Linked DNA regions of Caenorhabditis elegans. The protein of the gene in region 1 interacts with the protein of each later gene in a pairwise test. Each region holds a gene or a part of one and is shown on either strand. Other genes may lie near its edges.

Region 1 (3,830 bases):
TGAAGAGCTGCCGAGCCGGCTCAGCCCATCCACGAAGGTTGAAATAGTAGAGCTTGTATTGTGGCATTGTTTGTTGATGGGAGATGATTGAGTAGTACTTTATATACACAAAGTCGTTTCGAAAATCTCCGAAATTGAGGGGAGGGAGAGTGAGAGAAATAGAGAAATAGAAGAGTGGTTTGTGTTTTTGCGAAGAAACACTGGTCACAAAACAAAAAGTCAGAAAATTGGAAAAATTTTTGAAAAATTCAGAAAATGCATCAAAAGCTGTTTTTTTTTCAAAAATTCAAAAGTACTGAAAAATCATATGAAGTGCTTCATTTTTCTTTTATAAAACTGTTTAGCATGATAAAATATACCAAAAAATATTAAATAAAATTTGCTAACTTGTACGGAAGATTATTTTAAAAAGTTCAGAAAATACATCAAAAGCTGTTTTTTTCAAAAATTCAAAAGTACTGAAAAATCATATGGAGCCCTGTTGCACTTCTCGCACTATTATTTCAAAAAAAAGTATTTCGGTAAAAAAATATCCGCATAAAATACTACAATATGTTTATTATCTTTTATCACAGTTTTTAAAAATTCAACGCGATTCAAAATTTAGACTTCTGTATCCATTCTCGTCGCAATATGATCCTCCAAATCTGGGGTTCCATAGATTTTCTCCTTATACTTTTTCAAATTCTGATGTCCTTCATCATCATCATCGATGGCTCGAAGCTTCTCCAGACTGTGCAAATTATCAGCTATAACTAGATCAGCCCATGTGAGCCCATCACCAACTAAATAACCTGACTTGCTCTTTTTGAGAATTCGATTGAGAAGAATAAAGTAGACATCTCGAGCTGGATTGAAAATCTCGTAGCGGATTTTGAGGATTTCTTCTTCTGGTTTCCCGGCCCTTGTGGCAAAAAGGAGTGTTTTAAAAGCAACGGAGAAGTCTTTGAATTGGTCGACAACGGCGTCCGCCCACGCTTCTTCTTCTGGAGTTTTTCCGGCATAACCAAATTTCTTGGCAAGGTATCGACAAATTGCAGCAGATTGGGGGATGTCGAAGCCATCAACGTTGAGTACTGGGAGCTGACCAAATGGGGTTTCTGGAAGTTGAATTAATTATGGCAGGTCTTCTTTGTAGGCACGCTTGCCTACATGCCTACGTCTGCCATCGTGTGTTCATACTCTCAGTTTGTAATCGAACATTTTATACTTAACACAAATATTTGAAATCTGCGCTAAACAAGAAGTCACAATGGAGAGCACGTAGGCAGGCAGGCAAAAAGTAGGCGCGTACGCCTGAAGATCTTATGAAACCCTAAAGCTGGATGTAGTGACTTTCTATTTATACGAAAAAAAAACAGAAATATCTAATCCTTTCTACAAGCTACAAACTACAAACTACAATATACAAACTACAAACTACAATCTGCAGACTACAAACTACAACCTATATTCTACATAATACGAATTACGGACTACAAGTAACAAACTATTTTTTTGACAAAAATTAATTTTTCAAAATACTTTCGTACCAAAAAACCTTTTACAAACTACAAACTAGCACCTACAAACTACAAACTACAAATTAAAAACTACAAACTACAGACTACAAACTACGAACTACAAACTACAAACTACAAAAAGATTTTTCCCCGAAAGCCAAGAAATTTAATGTTTTTTAGTTCAAACTTTTTCAAATTAAGTGTGGCATCAGTAACTACAAACTACAAACTACAAACTACAAGCAACACATTTCACTTTAAGAACTTACTGTCTCTCATTTTCTCCCATTTCCCTTCAGTATCGGCCATTGGAATCCGAATATCATCGTATGGAGTATGCGAGAGATGGAAAAGCTGTCGAGCCGGCTCAGCCCATCCACGTAGATCAAAATATGTTAGCTTGTATTGTGGCATTTTATTTCTGGAAGATTGAAAAAGGTGGATTCGAAAATCGACAAAATTGAGTGGAAAAAGCGAGGTCTCTAACAGTCTAAGTCTATTTATTTGAGGCTTACGTCTCTAAGCAAAAATATAATATGGGAATTGGAAATCGGTGGTCTTTGAGCATTGTGATAAAAAAGAGCACAAAATTTAAAATTTCAAAATAAAAGAAAAATAAGAGAAATAAAAACGATTTTTTGGAAATTTACATTTTTTTGCAGGACACGTTTCGAAAAAAACCCCACTTTGAAAAGAGAAGAAGAGCTTTTTCAAATTTTTTTTGGGTTTAAGTCACAGAAAATAGGTCGTAATAACCAAATATAACTGTCAAAAAATTTTAAAAATTTTCTAAATTTTTAATAATTTTTTTCCATTTGAAAAAAAAAACGTCCGAATTAAATTTGAATTCCCGCGCGAATGAGTGACGTCATTCTATGCATTTTCGCTTTTTCTGGCTAATTTTGGAGGGGTTTCTTGATATGTCTTCTACATTTGATTTAAATCGCCGTTTGTCAATTTTTCAAACATTCAATTTTCTAAAACAAAAAAAATATAAAGAAATATTAAATTTCCGTTTTTTAGACCAATTTCTTCCATGTTACGGAAAAAAGTTTTCAATTTGAAAAACAATTGCCGAATTTGTGTTTTAAATCAAATATAGAAGAAAATTTTAAAAAAAAACGCATAAATTTAGCCAAAAATGACGTCACTCATTTGCGCGAGAATTCAAATATAATTTGGGCATTTCTTTGATTTTTGAAAAATTGAAAAAAAAAATCATTAAAAATTTTTTTAAAAACATATTGTTTGGGCAATTTATTGTAAAAAATCACAAATTTTAAAACTCCTCTAAAATGGTTCATTTTGAATTTAGTTAGAGAACTCAAAATTGATCTACAAACACTAAAAAATTGCCCTTTTTCAATTTCCAGTGGTTCCAAACGTTTTAAGAAAAATCTTTTTTTTTGCCCAAAAAAAAGGACAGTCATTAGATGGCTTTAAAAAAATTGGGCAAAAAAATTTTTGGCTAAATTTGTTGAAAACGGGTAATTCGTGTATGCTGAATTCAGAAAATCTATGTTTAACCCATCAAAAACTATAACGTGGCAAAAATGGGCAATTTATGGCAAAAAATCACAATTTTGAAACTCCTCTAAAATGGTCAATTTTATAGATAGAGGACTCAAAATTGATCTGCAAACACTAAAAAATTGCCCTTTTTCAATTTCCAGTAGTTTCGAACGGTTTCAGAGAAATTTTTTTTGCCCAAAAAAAGGACAGTCCTTAGATGGCTGAAAAAAATTGGGCAAAAATAAAATGCCGTCTAAATTTGTTGAAAATAGGTAATTAATATATGCAAACTTCAGAAACTCTGCTCCATCTTTAATTCAACTTGGCATAAGTATAAAAATAAAAATGAATTGTAAAAAACCAACAAAAAAAAATCCAGAACAATCATTCTTTAGAAAACCTCCTTCGTTTTTATTTTGTTATTCTCCCCTACCCTTTCTGTTCACCAAACATCACATTTTCTTGTTTACCCCCCCCCCCCCCCCCCACGTGAGAGAGTATTGACAAGGACATTTCGGCGGCAGTCAACATTAATGAAGTTTCTGGTTGTCAAAGGAAACTTCTTTATTTTGTTTTTGAATATGGAAAACATGTTAGTAAGATTAAAAATTAGATCTCCGTTACTGGACGACTTGCGATATAGCTCTTCAGATTGGGGTGGGAATACACTTTTTCGAGATGAGCTGCTAGTTTTGGTTGCTCTCCAGAAGCTTCTAGGAGCCCATATTTTTTCAGTGTTTGAATGTTGTCAGCGATATAAAGATCCGCGAAGGTGATTGAATCTCCGATCAGATATCCTGACTTGCTCTTTTCCAG
Region 2 (6,324 bases), on another chromosome or scaffold:
TCACTTTAATTAGATACCTTATTTATTTTATAAAAATGCTATATTCATGTGGCAATGTTTCGACTTGTAGAAAATGAATAATAGGCTGCGTCCATATCCTGTTTTTTTCCGTTAAAAATATTTTTTCAAACATTGTATGATATATTTTTAATAACATACTTGAGTAAAACAAAATGAGACACTAATCATAAAAGCGGATCAAGAATTCCATGAATTTTTTTAATTTTTGTTGTACATTTTGTGTTCAATTCTTATTTTAAACTCAAAAAACAACATATTTTTCTAAGATTTGTTGTTTTAGTTTAAAAAAACTCACCTTCTAAATTACAGGATCAACTACTAGGAGTCCGTTGCACAAATCCAGATGATCCGCTCAGTATTGGCTCAATTTTGGACCGCGTCGGAGACATCTTCGGAAACAAACAAGGCAAATAATCTGTGTTCCGTAACAGCTACTCACTTCATCTCTCCTCCGGGTTGAATTTTCTTTATTTGTATTTTTTACATTAGATAAACTTGATCAATTTGTCTTATTAAAAGCTTTATTATGAATGTGGCTCAAATAATGAGCATGATTCAGAGAAAAAATGGTTTAAAATGTCAATTTTGTAATGAGAAAATGGGGGTCATCGGCAGTAATAGGGTACAACAACAAAAGTGATTGCATTAAACCTCAACTTCAAACCAAAGATACACAGAGAACCTAGTTATACATGCCTAGATTACTACCGGAATAGTATTGAACAAATACAAGAGAAGTTACCAATGAAGATTTGGGTGAGAATGGGAAGCATAATGCAGTCGGCTAGAGAAGTTGGAACTATTACTAGCAATGTACACGGAGAGGGTGAAGAAAAAAAAAAGAGAAAATAAAAAAAATGTAAAAGGATGGTCTGGATGGGTTGCGGGATAATACGAACTTCTTTTGAGCGTTGTGGGTGGAAGGGGCAAAAAATTTAGAAGCACTTGCGGTGGACAATCGATGGGCCGGACTCGTCGTACTCTTGCTTGGAGATCCACATCTGTTGGAAGGTGGAGAGGGAGGCGAGGATGGATCCTCCGATCCAGACGGAGTACTTGCGCTCTGGTGGGGCGATGATCTTGATCTTCATGGTGCTGAAAAAATAGAAAGTAAATATTAGTTCTTGAAATCCATTTAAGTTAAACTTACGATGGGGCAAGAGCGGTGATTTCCTTCTGCATACGATCGGCGATTCCTGGGTACATGGTGGTTCCTCCGGAAAGGACGGTGTTGGCGTACAAGTCCTTACGGATATCAATGTCGCACTTCATGATGGAGTTGTAAGAAGTCTCGTGGATTCCGGCAGACTCCATACCCAAGAAGGATGGCTGAAATGAATAGGAATTAATTTTATGTTTAGCTAGAGGTGCAAATATTTTCTTACCTGGAAGAGAGCCTCTGGGCAACGGAAACGCTCGTTTCCAACGGTGATGACCTGTCCGTCAGGAAGTTCGTAGGACTTCTCGAGGGAAGATGAGGAGGCAGCGGTGGCCATTTCTTGCTCGAAGTCGAGGGCGACATAGCAGAGCTTCTCCTTGATGTCACGGACAATCTCGCGTTCAGCGGTGGTGGTGAAGGAGTAACCGCGCTCAGTGAGGATCTTCATGAGGTAGTCAGTAAGATCACGTCCGGCAAGATCGAGACGGAGGATGGCGTGTGGGAGGGCATATCCTTCGTAGATTGGGACGGTGTGGGTGACACCATCTCCAGAGTCGAGGACGACTCCGGTGGTACGTCCGGAAGCGTAGAGGGAGAGCACGGCCTGGATGGCGACGTACATGGCTGGGGTGTTGAAGGTCTCGAACATGATTTGGGTCATCTTTTCTCTGTTGGCCTTTGGATTGAGTGGAGCCTCAGTGAGGAGGACTGGATGCTCTTCTGGGGCAACACGGAGCTCGTTGTAGAAGGTGTGATGCCAGATCTTCTCCATATCGTCCCAGTTGGTGACGATTCCGTGCTCAATTGGGTACTTGAGGGTAAGGATACCTCTCTTGGACTGGGCTTCGTCTCCGACGTAGGAGTCCTTCTGTCCCATACCGACCATCACACCTTGATGTCTTGGGCGTCCAACGATGGATGGGAAGACAGCGCGTGGAGCATCGTCTCCGGCGAATCCGGCCTGAAATTATCAATTTTTGTTTCAATATATCCCATGATGACCCCTAGATAAGAAATGAATACTCTCGTTAGGTCTTTCAAGAATGTCCATTATATTTACATTGCAAAGAGAGAAGGTTGCGGCGAGAATTCGGTCGAGATTTGGCAGAGCGCAGTGAGTCCGCGCACGAGCGAGAGCAGTGCAAACACAAAAGGCCCATTCCCCTATTCTCAAAATGCCCTCTCTCGCTCTACTCCTCTAGTTCACGGTTGATATCGAATGAAGTACTTTTTCCGAGAACGCTTTGGTGTGTGGTGAGCGGCGACAACGCTCAACAGATGTGTGTATGTCTCTCTGTGTTTGTGTGTGTGTGTGTGTGTGTGTGTGTGTGTGTGTGAGAGAGTGTGCCCAGCGCTCGCTTACCCCCGTGTTGGTCGCAGGGGCCTGCTGCTGCCACTGGCCCCGTTTTTTTTTACCCACTCAGATCCATTTCGCAATCCAATTGCGCTGTTGAATAATGAGATAGGAAACGGGGCGAATGGGAGGCCATCAGCAGCACTGAGAAGCGGGGCATTCGGGCACTAAGACAGATTTCGAAATGCATTGAGTCATCGTCTACACACCAAGAGCACCAGATGTGAGCGTGTCAGTTTTTTGATTTCAAATGGAAATTGTGGAAAATTGAATTAGAATGGGAAGGGGGACATTTTGATGATGAAAGTCCCTGATGACCATTGCATTTGTACAATCCTATCCCGGTCACTTACTCTCTCCCCGTTCATCCTAATCGCACTTTTCGCCTCCTACTACTTGGCCTCAATCGGACTCTCATGTCTAGATTGCGCATATTCATTTCTATCAATCAATATAGTGAGGATTGACAAAAGGTGGCATTTCTTGGCCTTGACAGTCCGTCCGTCCCTTCTTGTGTCCTATCCGTCTCCCATCCGTTCGGCTGTTGGCGTGGTGGTAGTCATTCAACAAGAGAGGCCGAATGGAGGGAAACCGCCGCCCTGCATACAGTGATGCGAGGAGGATACAAGGGCACACTTGACCAACACACTGTCAAGATTAGCGATTAGCGGCAGCCTCTTTTCTGACACATATATATAAATAAATCCGGGAAGGGTTCGCCAATACCATCGGAATCTCACACTCTCAGACACTCACACACATCTTGTTTCCTAGGGCCACAAATTAGCCAAGTAGCACTATTGAGGGTGGTGCGGATAATTGATGTTCGCGTTGCGCTTCTTCGTTCCCAAATTATACTTAATGAGGATTGCAAAGTGAGGTGGTTGCAAATAAAGATACCCGTCGTGGATAGACAAAAAACTACTGGCTTTTGACGACGAAAAAAATCGCTGTTCTTGTTGAATGGTTTGCCTCTCTTTCTATCTTATGGGGTTGCTAATCTACTGGCGAAATCTCTATTCAACTATTGCCACTGCCCTCTCGGAATGTGCATTACACTACTGTTGGCTGGTCGTGATATATCCCATTGTACGAAGGAAACGTCGCGGACGTTCCCTCAACGGACGGCCTCTCCTCACACACCATTGCAAATGCGCATCGGGTCGGGGTCGGGTTGGCCCCTCTCCAACAATACTCTACATACACTAAAAACATATCCTTGCGACGATTCCTTTTTTCTTCCCCCCCCTTACATATTCTCCCAGTGGGATGAAAAAGGGGCGCGTGGCGCCAGATTTGAAAATGGGAGGGAGCGAGTGACCGCGCGCAGGTGTTGACGGACGATATGAATCACCACCCACTACTACTACAACTGTTGCCATAATTATTTGCGAAACAATGCAAATCGAAACGTTGAGAAGGAATAGAAATTCAAAATCCTTATGCGGCAGGGAAACAACTTTTTATACAATGCAATGGAATTATTCCTAGGTTGTTGGAAATTTTAAACCCAAATGAAAAGTAAATTTGAGACATGGAGTTGGAATAAGCGCAGTTAAAACTAACAAAATAAAATTTTCCAAAATTTCTAAATCTTATATTCAAATGTTTCTAGAGCAGTTAAGATTGCATAATATTGTTTTAAACCTTTGTCCCTAATTAGAATTATTCAAATGTTATCAACTCACCTTGCACATTCCGGATCCATTGTCCACCACAAGAGCGGCAACCTCGTCGTCACACATTTTTTTGGGAACTGAAAGCGGGTGCCTAGTGAAAAACCAGTGCACAACTCTGCCTCTCGTGGCCTATTTATACTGCTGCACGCGACGCGTCCGCGCCGCTCTTTGCCATTGGTCGGCTGGCCCCGCCCAACCGAATGAGGGATTGAGGGAATACTGGAGAGCGGCCATCCGACAGACGGTCCTCGGAAGGGCGGGACACGGAGGGAAAAACAGTGTGGTGGTGGTGTCCTGGAAAATTTGAATTGGGGGACCGCGTCGCGCCTTCCCGCCTCGAAGATGAGGCGTTCGGCAGAGCGCAACGTGAGAAAAACGCCTAAAAATGTTTTGTAATTATGAAATTGGTCAGTGAAAAGCGAACGGCCGTTCGGTTTTTAAGGGATAATTTGATAAGGAACCGTAAGATTTTAATGTTGCAAAACAATTGCAGACGTCGTGGCACTGCAGACTAAAGATGTTCTCAGAACTCTTTTCTTGCCATACTTAGTGATATATTCGAATCTAGAATTAATCTTTTTGTCATCAATATCAGGAAAAGCGAGGTTTTTTAACTGTAAGTTGGTAATGAAGGAACCGTATTTTCCAATATATCGATGGTCTCTAGTTTTATTAAGAAATGATTCAATGTTCAAATGTAGAAAAAAATTTGACACGTATTTTGTCAAAGTGGAGCATGACGTGCCAGTGTTAAAGGAAAATTCCTCATGTTTTCAACACTTTTTGTACTTCAAAGTATATCTGAAAATGATTTTGTTTCAAATCACAACAAAGCAAAATTTCTGAAAATTGTATTAGTCATCAATTTCTATTCTTGGATATTGTCACATGTTCGATTTTTGAATTTATATGATTCAACAATTTGTTTTTTTTTTCTGTATTCCGCCGGAATATAATCTTTGAGCGAGAGGGTTTAGATTTTTTTTCTCCAAAAAGTTTGAATTGTTTCCATTGAATTAGCTGCCCTGCTTTCTCGGTGTTACACTGCAAGTTTTGCTTTCAACTGCACAATGCGGGGGAGATGAGAAGCGGGAAGAGCGGAGCATCATCAGGAACCATCAACAACATGTTACCTCTCGGGGTCCAGTTTTATTGGTTGCGAAGAAAACGAACAAAGTGCCGAGAAAGAGGGACCTGATTAAATGGGTTCGCAATTTAATTAGTATCACCCAGAAAACTCATTGAGATTCTTTTTTTTTCAAAACATAGTGGTCAAATTGGTTTCCTCTTCCCCCCCCCCCCCCCCCCTCAACCGTGCGCGGTGTTCTCCCAATGTTTCACATCCAACTTTTCCCGAATAAGAACAAAAAAATAGTTTTCCATTTCGTTACAAAACATGAAGCGTGTCCTCTTTTGATGAGTAATCGTCGTATAGAAAAATATGAGAAACAATGACGGAAGGCAAAAAAAAGGAAATGTTATGTTTAGAAATGAAGTAAAATGTCACTGATGATTCAGAAACGGGGGGCATCGACGTTCTGTTTACGAATGTGTTCCACAGCTTTTTTTTGTGAGAACGATTGACCCAACAAGGGATCAGATGACATCACTTCATGCCCACCATAAAGCACAAATGCACTATAGGTTCTTTCAATACACTATGGCATGTTTATACACACTTGCTGTCTACTCTTCATTCTTAAGAGCACATTGTGTGTGTGTGTGTGTGTGTGCTCGTTTCAGACTTTCTCAGAATTGGTAAACTGGAAAATTTTGAACACCGCAGCTTGAGTTTACACTAACACAATGTCAAAATTCCCAAGGTTTATGAAAAGTCTGAACTTTTATGATCACCAATGTATATCAGAGGTGCGAGACAAAAATTGAAAATGTCAAGAAATTGCCAACTTTCAGTTACTGAGCCTTAAGTATCATTTTAATGGGGTTGATGTTTTAGAGAAATTCAAATTAATCTGAAATATTTGGAAATTTCAAATTTTTACAAGATTTTAGACAAGAAAAATTTCAACTTTGCAAACATTGTCCCACAATAAATCTAGAAATTTGAAAATTTTTCAAACACTTAAAGGTAGAGTAACGTCCAGATTCAA
Region 3 (4,360 bases), on another chromosome or scaffold:
TTATAGTCATTGTTAAAGTTTTATAAATATTTTTATTCAGGTATCTGATTCTGAGCTGTCTTATCTCACCGAAAAATATCATAAAAGCAGCAGTTTCTGTGTATGGAGTTGCTGATCTATTGGCTTTAGATGAAGATACTCATAAACTGGAAAGATGTTACAATGAGATGCTTATCGGAAAATATCCTGAGCAAGCGAGCATTTACGAAGAAAGAAGTCCCATTTATCATATTGATAAAATTAGAACTCCTATTGCATTCTTGCATGGAAGGGAGGATACGGTAGTACCGATGAGCCAATCTATCACAATGTATGAGAAGATCCGTGCTAGTGGAGTTACAACTGCTCTGATGCTTTTCGATGGAGAAGGACATGGATTTAGGAATGGACAAGTGATCAAGGAAAGCACCGAAGCCACTTTCTACTTTTTGATGAAGGCCGTTGGAATTGAACCATCAATTAGTTCGAAGATCGAAATTGTTAATCCGAAGCATTAGATTTGTTTTTGTTTAAATTGTTATCTATAAAATTTCAGCTTTTAAAAAATGCATTGCTTTATTTATTTGAAAACCAAATAAATTATAGAAATTAATATTCACAGAGAAACTGAAGATTGGATATCACGACGCGATTAAATAGTAGAAATTATGATTGGGAAGGATCAACATTGATTTGCCTATTGCATGTTGGAGAGGACAGTTGACAGACGTTCGTAGAATGTAGAGTAGAGAGTGGTGGCCTGGTAGATGCTCGAAGTGTCGGCAAACTCGCTGAAATCAAGAAAATAAATGATGTGATTTAAAAGTTAAATCCCTACCGAATCGAGTGCATAGCCAACTGTGGGCATCCTACATCGACAGTCTGCAAGCCAAGTTTTGTGGCAAGAATCGGTCCAACCGTCGATCCACAAGGAGAATCATTGCGAACGACGACAACTTGAAGAGGAACTTGAGCTTCGAATGCAACTTGCTTGAGAGCAGCGTGTGTGGTTGAAGTTGTTGCATATCGTTGATTGACGTTTACTTTGACGACGACTCCACCATGGAATGCTGGACGATGGTTCTCTTCGTGTTTTGCCGAATAGTTTGGATGCGTGGCATGAGCTTGATCTGCAGAGATGAGCATGCTCTTTCCGATTGCTTCTTCGAAAGCGGTTGTTGAGCCTCCAGCAGAAAGACGGCGGAGAACGAACTCCGTGAAAGAAGAAGATGCTCCCATCGCGGAATCCGATCCTACTTCCTCGTTATCGAAGCATGCGGCAATACGAATTTGTGGGTCATTCTTGAATGACTCTCCAGTTAGAGACTCGAGAAGTCCACTTATCGCAGTGTATGTTCCAACTTGGTTATCAAGACGAGCTCCAGAAATGAATTCATCCTCCATTCCAACAATCGCAGCCTTGTTTGTATCGTAAAGGTAGAGATCCAAATCAACGATGTCTTCTGGCTGACATCCAGCTTCCTTCGCGATTAATCCGAGGAATTGGGGATGATGATTGTTGGTAATGTTTCGTGGATCGGCAAAACCAGTAGACTCGGGTTTCTGTGGTGCATTGATTCCAGCAGCAGCGAAGGTTTCCAGAATCGGGCGGAGCTCAGTTTCCGTGTTTGGTTTGAATGTTGTTCTGAGAAATAAATTGCAAAATTAGGACGATAGTGACAAATTTCAAATACCTGTCGGTCTCCAAATGAATCGCCAAATTTGGAATGAAAAGAACTGGCTTTTTCACGTCGATCAGCTTGTGTTGAAGTTTCTCTCCATTCTTGACAATAACCAATCCAGCCACCGACAAGTCACGGTCAAACCAGGTTCTCCAGATTCCACCTCCGTAAGTTGATACACCAACTTGAAGGAATTTATCAGACTTTTGGTGGGAAATTGGTTTGACACGGAGGCATGGACTGTCAGTGTGTCCCACAACAATCGAGAATCCACTCCCTGGCTTGTAAGATCCTCCAACAGCGAATGCAAGAATTGCAGAGCGGTTCTTGGTGACAAAGTATTTGCTGGTTGGCTGAATGTCCCAGTGACCCGATTCTGGAAGCTCTGTGAAACCGGCTTGTAGAAGGCGATCCTTCACTTCTTGGGTGGCTGCAATTGATATACTTTTGAATATAAAAATAAATAATAAATATTACCATGAAATGGAGTAACTGCTTTATTCAGATAGTTGATGAACTCTTGTGCAGCTTTGCGGATCTCCGGAGCACTTGGTTTCAGAGCAGCGGCCATCTAAATTAAATAAACTTATTTATGAAAAGACAAAGAAAGAATAGTGAAAACCTTTTTGGGTTGATAGCTGGTATTGGGCTCAATTTCATGTTTTGGATAGCAGCCGCACACTACTTTCAATTTTTCGGAAATACGATTTTTTCGAAACGACTTCTTTGTCATGATTCAAACTCAAAATGAATTGAGCCCAATATTTTACTACCATCGGAGTGAAAATGAAAAAAGATAAGACAAAATGTTGCATAAAATTTGAATCTGGAATGATTTTCTATAAGCGATAAACGGTTAGTTTCTACTGGGCGAAAGTTCGAGAGAAGAATATGTGGTGCTGATTATCAAAAATGCGTTATCAGTGATAGTTATCAAGGTTTCTAATAGAAAGAATCAAAAATGAAGGAAAAGATAATGGAGAAGACATGAGAAAAGCGAAAAGATCAGGAATTATTTGAGGAAAGTTAGTGAAAAAAAAATTGACAGGAAAAAAACGTCGGAAAATTTTAGAAATCGAAAAGAAGAAAAGAACAATTTTTAACGTAGAGTAGTACTGTATTCAAGGCGCAACGCTTAAATCATTTTTTGGGTCCTGGAAAGAAAACTACAATAGCTGGAAATGTTCTGAACTTTGAATATAATTATAAATTTTATATATAAAATTTTGTTCATCTTGATTTTTCAGAGCGATATATTGTTTATAAATAGAATGATTTTTACTACAAATTTTTAAATTTTTATGAATAAAAAATAAATTAAACATATAATAACATTTTCATAACTCAACAGAATGAAATATGTTTATTTCACTCCAGAAAACATTTACTTTTCTCTTGGAAGTCGTTTAATGAAATTAATACTAAAACTGCTCGATTATTATGTTTAATGCTCTTTAAATGTGTCACCAAATGGCCTAGGTTTTCAACCTAGTCCTTGCCAACATTGTGATGAGACCTTTTTTATTTAATTAATCAAATGACTCATATATTTTTCGAATAAATCAAGAATTTTCTAGAAAAATGACAGAACCGTCGGCTAGCGAAGAAGTGTCTGCCGGAGTGAATGCAGAGGTAAGAGTGTTGCATTTTAATCGATAATTCAAAGACCCTTAAATTTCAGGAGCCGCCAATACCGTCCAAAAAGATTTCGCAAGTCTCACCGAATCCAACGCTTCAATGCGAAATGTGCCAGAATTATGAAGTGAATTTGACTGCATTACAGGTGAGAATCATGGGAACACGGCAAATATGCAAATGATTTTTGTTTGTTTTGCAGGAAAACGAACGAAAGTTAAAGGAAGAAGTGAAGGCGGCAATGGAGTTGAACGAAAGATATCAATTGGATTTGAGCAATGAACGAGACTATCGAAAAGAATTGGAAAAGAAAATGAACGAATTATCGACTAATTGTTTGAATCAGGTTAACGAGGCGGCAAAGGCAAATGCCAAGTCGGAGCAGCGGCTGGACGAGCTCAGTGCGAAGGTATTTTAAATAAATAAAAAGAATAACTTTTAAAAAAGCTTAATTTCAGCACGACAAATCGATAGAAGTATTCACTGATCAATTGAATTTGGCTCGTGACAAACTGCAACAAGCCGACGATGACTTTGTTACATTAGGAAAAAAGTACAAAAAGCTTCTCGGGTCCACACGAAAATCAGCACAAGAACTTCGGTCCGAGAAAATCGATATGCCAGCTGATCTTGATCAATTACAATTTATTTGTCTCAAGAATAGGGAAGAATTGATAGAAACTCGAGCTGCAAAAGAGCACACCGAGCAGCAGCTGCAGGATGAGATCACCGTCCTGCGAGCTCAGATTCTAGAAGAAAGAGCGCACAGAGAAGATCAGGAAGTGACATTTACTGCAGAGATCAGCAGATTGCAGTCGGAATTAGGAAAGATCAACACTCGAATGGTTGTTGCATCGGAAACAATTGCAGATCAAGATTCGAATATCAGACAAATTAGAGATCTTCAAACAACTGTCGGTGAACTTGAGACGCAGGTTCAGCAGGTTCAAAATGAGAGAGCCGCTGTTGAACAGACGGCACAGAACTACAAGCAACGGTGCACAAGTCTTCAACAAGAACTCGACACATCTGAAGTTGTGCAGAGAGATTTTGTGAAATTATCT

Evidence for each region. Proteins that work in one complex are often made in the same cells at the same time.
Region 2: the proteins of gst-15 (region 1) and act-4 interact in a two-hybrid assay, tested with the Caenorhabditis elegans proteins (one large-scale study listed by BioGRID).
Region 3: the proteins of gst-15 (region 1) and dnpp-1 interact in a two-hybrid assay, tested with the Caenorhabditis elegans proteins (one large-scale study listed by BioGRID).

Annotation. Positions count from the first base shown.
Region 1 is NC_003280.10:13,611,228-13,615,057, forward strand, and holds gst-15 (glutathione transferase), read right to left. Parts: upstream 1,970-3,830; 5' UTR 1,917-1,969; coding exon 1,772-1,916; intron 1,101-1,771; coding exon 604-1,100; 3' UTR 543-603; downstream 1-542. Other genes in the region: gst-24 (glutathione transferase), read right to left, coding at 1-67; gst-14 (glutathione transferase), read right to left, coding at 3,624-3,830.
Region 2 is NC_003284.9:4,958,617-4,964,940, reverse strand, and holds act-4 (Actin-4), read right to left. Parts: upstream 4,321-6,324; 5' UTR 4,280-4,320; coding exon 4,223-4,279; intron 2,142-4,222; coding exon 1,407-2,141; intron 1,351-1,406; coding exon 1,172-1,350; intron 1,117-1,171; coding exon 957-1,116; 3' UTR 528-956; downstream 1-527. Other genes in the region: M03F4.6 (EB domain-containing protein), read left to right, coding at 331-435. UniProt on the Caenorhabditis elegans protein: Actins are highly conserved proteins that are involved in various types of cell motility and are ubiquitously expressed in all eukaryotic cells.
Region 3 is NC_003281.10:5,861,315-5,865,674, forward strand, and holds dnpp-1 (Aspartyl aminopeptidase), read right to left. Parts: upstream 2,490-4,360; 5' UTR 2,395-2,489; coding exon 2,284-2,394; intron 2,233-2,283; coding exon 2,139-2,232; intron 2,092-2,138; coding exon 1,674-2,091; intron 1,625-1,673; coding exon 818-1,624; intron 771-817; coding exon 677-770; 3' UTR 528-676; downstream 1-527. Other genes in the region: dpf-4 (Peptidase S9 prolyl oligopeptidase catalytic domain-containing protein), read left to right, coding at 41-497; rabn-5 (FYVE-type domain-containing protein), read left to right, coding at 3,243-3,293, 3,343-3,444, 3,499-3,705, 3,755-4,360. UniProt on the Caenorhabditis elegans protein: Aminopeptidase with specificity towards an acidic amino acid at the N-terminus. Plays a role in membrane trafficking and is specifically involved in the recycling and degradation of endocytic cargo.